Arabidopsis thaliana: one gene and its partner. The main gene of each other region encodes a partner of the protein of the gene in region 2 in a complex. Each region holds a gene or a part of one and is shown on either strand. Other genes may lie near its edges. A codon is read from its position in the direction of its gene.

The links.
Region 1: the proteins of AT3G10860 (region 2) and AT5G13430 are in contact, whole or in part, in a cryo-EM structure (PDB 8BEL), measured with the Arabidopsis thaliana proteins. Residues at the interface, in NP_001327236.1 of Arabidopsis thaliana: Tyr13 (codon at 1,576), Ala14 (codon at 1,573), Leu15 (codon at 1,570), Phe18 (codon at 1,561), Gln19 (codon at 1,558), Gln20 (codon at 1,555), Lys21 (codon at 1,552), Ile22 (codon at 1,549), Gly25 (codon at 1,540), Lys28 (codon at 1,531), Asp29 (codon at 1,528), Lys33 (codon at 1,516); in NP_568288.1 of Arabidopsis thaliana: Tyr93 (codon at 3,490), Asp95 (codon at 3,496), His96 (codon at 3,499), Asn97 (codon at 3,502), His98 (codon at 3,505), Glu99 (codon at 3,508), Arg100 (codon at 3,511), Tyr101 (codon at 3,514), Asp105 (codon at 3,526), Pro106 (codon at 3,529), Ser107 (codon at 3,532), Lys108 (codon at 3,535), Arg109 (codon at 3,538), Ala112 (codon at 3,547).

The regions. Positions count from the first base shown.
Region 1 is NC_003076.8:4,304,544-4,309,445, reverse strand, and holds AT5G13430 (Ubiquinol-cytochrome C reductase iron-sulfur subunit), read left to right. Parts: upstream 1-1,875; 5' UTR 1,876-2,046; coding exon 2,047-2,221; intron 2,222-3,388; coding exon 3,389-4,032; 3' UTR 4,033-4,340; downstream 4,341-4,902. Other genes in the region: AT5G13440 (Ubiquinol-cytochrome C reductase iron-sulfur subunit), read left to right, coding at 372-1,015. UniProt on the Arabidopsis thaliana protein: Component of the ubiquinol-cytochrome c oxidoreductase, a multisubunit transmembrane complex that is part of the mitochondrial electron transport chain which drives oxidative phosphorylation.
Region 2 is NC_003074.8:3,397,732-3,401,426, reverse strand, and holds AT3G10860 (Cytochrome b-c1 complex, subunit 8 protein), read right to left. Parts: upstream 1,853-3,695; 5' UTR 1,613-1,852; coding exon 1,443-1,612; intron 962-1,442; coding exon 913-961; 3' UTR 672-912; intron 616-671; 3' UTR 501-615; downstream 1-500. Other genes in the region: MES17 (methyl esterase 17), read left to right, coding at 1-199; GLY2 (Metallo-hydrolase/oxidoreductase superfamily protein), read left to right, coding at 1,905-1,951, 2,048-2,170, 2,576-2,737, 2,858-2,936, 3,083-3,196, 3,299-3,475, 3,597-3,671. UniProt on the Arabidopsis thaliana protein: Component of the ubiquinol-cytochrome c oxidoreductase, a multisubunit transmembrane complex that is part of the mitochondrial electron transport chain which drives oxidative phosphorylation.

The DNA of each region.
Region 1 (4,902 bases), on a different chromosome or scaffold from region 2:
TGGAATTCCATATCTTTAACCAAAAGGGCTATGTTTGCAATCTTATCTTAGGAGTTTTCTTATGTTTTAAGCATTTATGATCATTGAAGTTCCTTCCTTGGATCTTGCGTTAGATAGATTAGTTTAGTTTTCACTGAATTTGATATCATGGTAGAAAATTGTTTGGATGACACCTTCTGTTATCTCTTGGAATCCGTTTTTATAATCTTATGTTATTCTATGCATTAATGTTAAATGTTTGCTAGTGTTATTCCTTTCTTCTGTGTTATCTCTTGAAAATATTTTTGCTTAATACTTGGTGTTGTTGAACACTTGACCAAGTATAAAGTTTGCCCTTGATGTGAAATATTAATGTTTCATGCTATTTTCAGGTTTTGCTTCTCAAGTCATTACTCAGGGAAATGAGATAGGTTTTGGTTCGGAAGTCCCAGCCACAGTCGAAGCTGTCAAAACACCTAACTCAAAGATTGTCTATGACGACCATAACCATGAGCGTTACCCACCTGGTGACCCTAGCAAGCGGGCATTCGCCTATTTTGTCTTGTCGGGTGGAAGGTTTGTTTATGCCTCTGTTCTCCGCCTGCTTGTTCTGAAGCTTATTGTGAGCATGTCTGCAAGTAAAGATGTCCTTGCCCTTGCATCCCTCGAGGTTGACCTAGGGAGCATAGAACCAGGAACTACCGTGACAGTCAAGTGGCGTGGAAAGCCCGTCTTCATCAGGCGAAGAACAGAAGATGACATCAAGCTGGCCAATAGTGTGGATGTTGGATCCCTGAGGGACCCACAAGAAGACTCGGTTAGAGTCAAGAATCCAGAATGGTTGATCGTGGTTGGAGTATGCACTCATTTGGGGTGCATCCCCTTGCCTAATGCTGGTGATTATGGTGGTTGGTTTTGTCCGTGTCACGGATCACATTACGATATATCTGGAAGAATTAGGAAAGGTCCTGCACCATACAACCTGGAAGTACCGACCTACAGCTTCTTGGAAGAGAATAAATTACTCATTGGTTAATGAATAAAGCACAACAGTCCGAGTGTCATGGTCTGGATGATCTTAAATCTGTTTTTGTTTTTATATTTTCCGGCATTTTAGCGTGCAAGTTCGCTTTCCTCACACTTTGGGCTCAGCAAAAATTGGCTTGTTTTGCTGAATAATACAAACTTGTCATTGTATGACTTAGTATCTGTCTCATCTGGTGAAAATACATTGTTCATACTTCATAGTCTCTGTTTATTATTTGAAAAGAGTTTTGAATAGTATCATCCCTATTTTTCTTATGTTTGTAATTTTGTAACATATCGTTTGTAAGAGAGTTTCCTTTCCTTAAAGTCTGTAGCCATTATCACAATTGAGACAAAAACTTGGTAAGGTTCAAGGTGTGTTATAAAACTTTCGTGTTCTTACTGGAGACGACATTTCGAAGACCTTCAATTCTCAACTAAGCCATAAACCTTCTCTTCCATAGTGAGAAATCCAATTGTGAACCTCGAGACTACTACTTTGATGAAAGATGTCATATTCTGGTTGTGGATCTTAGCCTAATTTTCTTGTTCAGATTGTTTTCATCGATGACTACTTCTTTGATGATGTCCTTCTAGCTCTTTCTTCTAGTATTGAAAAGTTCACACAGATGTAAAACAGTCTTTTTGTTGGAAATCTTGTTTAAACATTACAACAACAAAATATATCCTTTACCAAGTATAGACCCCCTATTATTATTATTAAAAATTACGATTTTTATACAAATAAAATAATTTATCTTACAAATACACACACACAAAAAAATTATATCGTAAAACCAAAAGATTTTATTAATTAAAATTAGAAAAAAAACCATGCCATCAAAATCCTGAAGTAAAAAAATATCAAGTAATACGCAAAAACCAAAAAAAACAAAACAAATTGACCTTTTCTCAAAGACAATTTTTAAGGGACTTACTAGTAAGTAGTCTCTTATGTTTTGTTTTGCATCGGCCGTCCCAAACCTGAGGATTTCTCTGTTCAGCTAGAGCGAAACCCTAGATTCACATTTGAGCTGAGAGATGCTGCGTGTAGCAGGGAGGAGGCTTTTCTCTGTCTCGCAGAGATCTTCGACTGCGACCTCCTTCGTCGTCTCCCGTGACCATACCCTTTCCGATGGTGGCGGCGACTCCTCTTCAGCTCCCAGATCCCTCCCCTCTGCAGATCTCTCATCTTACCACCGTAGCCTTATCAGAGGTTTGCCGATTTATAACCCTTTCCCTCTCTCTCTACATTGATTTTTCATTTTCGGTGGTTCTTTGCAGTTTTATTTGATTGATTGATTTTTGAAAAGGTCTTCTTTTTTTGGTTGTATGATTCACGGGAATGATTGAGATTTCTAGTATTGTATCTGCAATGATCCGTGGGAACAAACGTGTCATCTGATTTGAATTCCATGAGCTTGATGTACCATTTGGCTACATTCTTCTCCTTGCTGGATTTGTATTGCATTTGATGATTACTTCTTTCGTGTGGATTGTTCAGTTCTGAGATAATCCTTTGTTTTACTAGGAAAGTTTCCTCTTTTCGGTGCGTTAATCATAGTATGATTCACCACTGGCTTCTTGGTTTTTGAAATTTGATCTTGTGTATCAATCCTTTTGAGTTCTTCATTGTTAGGGACATGGATGTTTTAACTGTATACTATGTTTGTAGGATTTATAGCTGTTTAAAGGCATGCTGAGGAACTTGCATTCTGAAATTTATGTTTTCTTAACCAAAGAGCTTTGTTTGTTCTTAGCATTGGAAATTTTGTTGTGTTTTAAGCGTTTCTGTAATATACAGCATCTGATCAATATATTTTTTTCTCTTGGTTTATTACGTTGGTTTTAGTATTTAAGGTTTCACTGAATTTGTTATTATTGATTTGTTTGGATGAATTTGGTATACTTGGCTTCTCTGATTCATTCTTTCGTCCAGAAGGAAATGAACATTTGAGTTTATTGATGGATTATGGATTGACCTGTTTAGATGTAATTCTTTGGTTGATGACTAAAGCTCCTTGCTTGTAAATCATTGGAATGCGTTATCCATAGTGTGATTCACATTGGCTTCTAGATTCCAATTTTTTGTTCTTCTGTTTCCATGTTGATCATTGAATTTGTTCTCTTGTTTTTTTTATGGAGATTATCGTATTTAAGTTTCCACTCCCCGAGTTTGATACGATGGTTTGAATTGTTTGGATGGATCTCATACTTCATGGAATCCGTTTTATGTACTTTTGTTTTTCCTTAGAAGATTATACATCAATGGTCACATCTTGATTGTGGTAGTCCTGTGGCTTATTCTTATTCTTGTAGAACACTTGACCAAGTATAAAGTTTGCCTTTGATGTGAAATATTAATGTTTCATGCTATTTTCAGGCTTCTCTTCTCAAGTCCTTGCTCAAGGAAATGAGATAGGTTTTGGTTCAGAAGTCCCAGCCACAGTCGAAGCTGTCAAAACGCCTAACTCAAAGATTGTCTATGATGACCATAACCATGAGCGTTACCCACCTGGTGACCCTAGCAAGCGTGCATTCGCCTATTTTGTCTTGTCGGGTGGGAGGTTTGTTTATGCCTCTGTCCTCCGCCTGCTTGTTTTGAAGCTTATTGTGAGCATGTCTGCAAGTAAAGATGTCCTTGCCCTTGCATCCCTTGAGGTTGACCTAGGGAGCATAGAACCAGGAACTACCGTGACAGTCAAGTGGCGTGGAAAGCCCGTCTTCATCAGGCGAAGAACAGAAGATGACATCAAGCTGGCCAATAGTGTGGATGTTGGATCCCTGAGGGACCCACAAGAAGACTCGGTTAGGGTCAAGAATCCAGAATGGTTAGTGGTTGTTGGAGTGTGCACTCATTTGGGGTGCATCCCCTTGCCTAATGCTGGTGATTATGGTGGTTGGTTTTGTCCGTGTCACGGATCACATTACGATATATCTGGAAGAATTAGGAAAGGTCCTGCACCATACAACCTGGAAGTACCAACCTACAGCTTCCTGGAAGAGAATAAGTTACTCATCGGTTGATTAATAAAAGCACAACAGTCAAGAGTCTGGATCTGAATGATGATCTTCACTTGTTCTTTTTTTCTTTTAATTAATATTTTCCGGCATGTTAGAGCAAGATTGACTTGTTTTTGCTGAATAATACAAACTTGTGATTTTTGTTTGAAGTATACTCAATCTTCGTTTATCCATCGCTAGTAAAAGACGACTATGTTCATAGTCTGTGTTTATTATTTAACATGCCTATTTGTCCTATGTATGAGTGAGATTCCTTTCGTATCTCATAATTCTAAACATCGTCATTCCAATTAAAAAGTTGTATTTACATTTGAGTTTCGATAGTATCTCAACGTTCATAAAAGAAAAACTAAAGGTATGAGAAAAACCAACGTAGAAACAAACAACAAAAGGTAATATATCAGCTTTGATTGATAGTTTACAGGAAGATAACCGAATAAGTTCAAACTGTATTCGTAAGACATCCCGTGAATGAATATTCAATCATCCAAAAGTGGCATAGCTAGATTTTTTCTAGATTGGCTAAGAACACAAAAACATAATATTTTATTCTGTTTAATCTTTTTTAGTTAAGAAAAAATGTTTGACACACAAAAGCCAAAGTTTGATTTGGGTAAAAACCATTGTGGGAGATGAAAATGTTAAAATCTTGTTTGTTTTGGTCACCAACAACGGCCATGAACTATATGGGAAGTGACTTATCTCTTGTAAGTTGTTTTCCTTTTGGGATATGGGAAGTGACTTCTCCGACCCTTGCAAACTAACAACGGCCATTACACACTAATTACAAGCCAAAGGTCCTCACTAAGCAACCTCTCGTGTTTATCATAAGACACCGCTCTATCTCTTATTATTTTATTCATTGTTTTCTAA
Region 2 (3,695 bases):
AGAGGAGCAAGTGCCGCGCGTGTACATCAAGACGTTACTCGACCGGGTCATGAAACCGGAGCAGCAAGACGCGATGATAAGACGGTGGCCACCTAGCCAAGTTTACGAATTGGAGAGCGACCATTCTCCTTTCTTCTCTAACCCTTTTGTTCTCTTTGGTTTACTCATCAAAGCTGCCGTTTCCGTCGGTTCTATCTAAAACTATTTAAAGAACTAAAGGATTGCCTTTTGTTGGTTTTAAAACCGGTTAAGTGATCAGTATTGTCGAGGGAGTGTTTATTTATTTTTGATTTTTGTGACATTTTGGTATTTTATATTAATCGTTTTGAAATAAATTATGTTTTGCTTAATTTTATCTTGCGTCACAAAAGTGAAATAAATTTCGGCAAATCGTGTAGTTTTATATAAATCACTAATTTGCAGTCTTCCAAGGTCTACTTAAAGTCCTAGCCGGTATCGACACCAACTTCACAGTTACCTCAAAAGCCTTAGACGAAGAGAATGACTCCGCTGAACTGTACTTGATGAAATGGACAACATTTCTAGTCCAACCAACGACTCTGTTCATCACAAACCTTGTAGGAGTGGTTGCAGACTTGCAGTGTTTGATTTTGCCTAATAGTTGTTTGTAGTTGATGTCTTAAGGGAACATAGGCAGCGTTTGATTTTGCCTAATAGTTGTTTTGAGGGATCAATATATTACTCGATTCAATCCAATTTTCATACCATATATCAAGAAAGATGAACAACAAGAGTCATTGTCATGAAACCCAAACATTTATTTAGCAAAAGAGTTTCAGAAAAACTGACTCAGAAGATTCCCACAAGAGTTTTTGTGAAATTTATAGGCTTGAAACAAAAGAAATTACTTCAAACTGTCAGGTTCTTGTAGAAAAGGAGTGACTTCATGCTTCAGAATCTGTGCTCAAGCTTCTCCTGTTCCTTGAAATACTGAGCATACCTGCATTCATTGTGTGTATTTGAAAGAATAAGCACAAAAGATGACTAGAAACTAGACCATAATATGCAGCACCCGTAATGTTTAGATCGATCAGGTAACTAATAGCTTCACAAGCAAGAACTCAACAGTTTTAATAGAACCACACTAATCAGCTAATGATTACGACTAAGCCATTTAAATCCTCAACATCTTGAAATGCAATTCCACAGAGTGGTTCATCAACAATACTAATTTGATACCTGGAAGACTTTTTCTAGCTGAGAGTCTCTATATACTACACTCCACTTAATACTCATCTCAAACTAACTTAAATCCTATCATTTCTCATTTGTTCCTATGACACAAACGAAGAACCCTATATCCATATGCGCCGCACAAGACCGATGACACAGATCGAAGAACAATCAACCAGATCGGAACTCGATCCAAAGGTTCCTTTACCAATCGATTGATGAGAGAGATAGAAAGAGAGATAGAGTACCAGTAGGTTCCAACGACAGGGGTAACGAGAAGAGTGGCGCTGATCCAATTCTCAGAGACCTTGTGGTGGATCTTCTCCGGCAGATCCTTCCAGAGACCGGTCATGATCTTCTGCTGAAACGGAGAAAGTGCGTAAACCACCGCCTTCAATTTCACCGGCTGCTTCCCCATTTTCTTTTTCTCTTCCCAGATAATCCCAACAACAACAATCCACAGTACGAGAACGAATCTCCCCCAAAACCTAAAATAAACAATTCTCAACGAAGCTTATGTTTTTTATCCGATTCCGGTTCAGTTACAATTACAATTGAACCGGATGACCGGCTGCAAAATTTATCCTGATTTGTTTCGGTTCGATCCGGTTTGAGTAAACCGAAATAGATAAATCACTAGTCCAGACATAAATGATGATGATGATACAGCTAGTGTTCCGGAGGAGAAGGACGATCGATCTAAGGAGACGATGAAGATCTTCCACGTTCCTTGTCTGCAAGACAACTACTCTTATCTGTGAGCCATTTTGATATCCTACTTCAATTTCGTTGCTTCTTAATCTGACTCGGTTCATCATCAGTTTAGGATTCTTTCTTCGTAAAAAAAAAACAGGATAATCGATGAGAGCACCGGAGACGCGGCGGTTGTGGATCCAGTTGATCCGGAGAAGGTGATCGCATCGGCTGAGAAGCACCAAGCTAAGATCAAGTTCGTACTCACTACGCATCATCACTGGTAAGTAAACCTCACTTCTCTCTATGTCACTGGTAACTTATCTTATTTGATTCATCTCCGAGATTCTCTGTTGGTTCTTATTACTCAGTGATATCGACATATGCTAGATTCCGGTCCTAGACATTAACATTAGTACAAGTCTATTGTTAAATCTCTCAGTTTTCTGATCAAGTGTTTAGCTTTTTCCTACTATCAGTTTCAACTGACTTAGAGATTCATCTTCGTGAGTCTGATTCTTTGTTAAAGTCTGATACTTTCTGCATTAATGTTTCACCTCTTGAAGATGCAAGATTTATTATATATGTACCATATGATGGTTGCCTTTGTCTTCGATGAAATTTGGATTTGAGGCGACGTTTTTATTTTAACACTCATTGTTTGATTGGTGGCTTGATATGATCAAAGGGATCATGCCGGTGGAAACGAGAAGATTAAGCAGTTGGTTCCTGATATCAAAGTATATGGAGGTTCTCTGGATAAGGTGAAGGGTTGCACTGATGCGGTTGATAATGGTGACAAGCTGACTTTGGGTCAGGATATTAACATATTGGCTCTCCACACTCCTTGGTTTGTTTTTTTTTTTTTTTTTTTTTCCAATGAATTTAGATGCATCTAATCTACTTGATGTTTAACTCAGTCATTTTCTCTTGTCATCGCTGATTCCTCTGATATATCTACTTGTTACAGTCACACCAAGGGTCACATTAGTTATTATGTGAACGGAAAAGAAGGAGAAAACCCAGCCGTGTTCACCGGAGATACACTTGTAAGTGGTAACATTAAGCTGAATCCTCTTGTTCTTCCCTACCATGGACCCTATATGTTCTCCGTAGATCTTTTATCTCTGTAAATGTCTAAATGGAGATAGTTATGAGTTAAACATTAAGCTGTGTTTACTTTGATTTTATACAGTTTGTTGCTGGATGTGGGAAGTTTTTTGAAGGGACAGCTGAGCAGATGTATCAGTCGTTGTGTGTGACTCTGGCTGCATTACCTAAACCGACACAGGTTTACTGCGGCCATGAGGTAAAAAAATCAACAGCTTCATTATGTCTTTTGAGTTCTTAACTCATAAAAATGGATGCCTATAAACTGAATAATCCGCTATTCATTTCTTATGGTTCTCAGTACACCGTTAAGAACTTGGAATTTGCTCTAACTGTGGAACCAAACAACGGGAAGATACAACAGAAGTTAGCATGGGCCCGTCAACAGCGCCAAGCAGATCTTCCCACAATCCCTTCAACACTGGAGGAAGAGCTCGAAACAAATCCATTTATGCGTGTTGATAAGCCAGAGATACAGGTTATTACTCCATTTGGTTCATCTTCTTGAACAATTCATGATTCGGTTTTATCAGCTATCACTGTTGATATCGATCTTTACTTTCTTGTCGTATATCGAGATTAACTTTGTTATTTTCCAGGAGAAACTCGGTTGCAAGTCGCCAATTGATACAATGAGGGAAGTTCGGAACAAGAAGGATCAGTGGAGGGGATGATGATAAATGGAGAGCTTCTTGCCT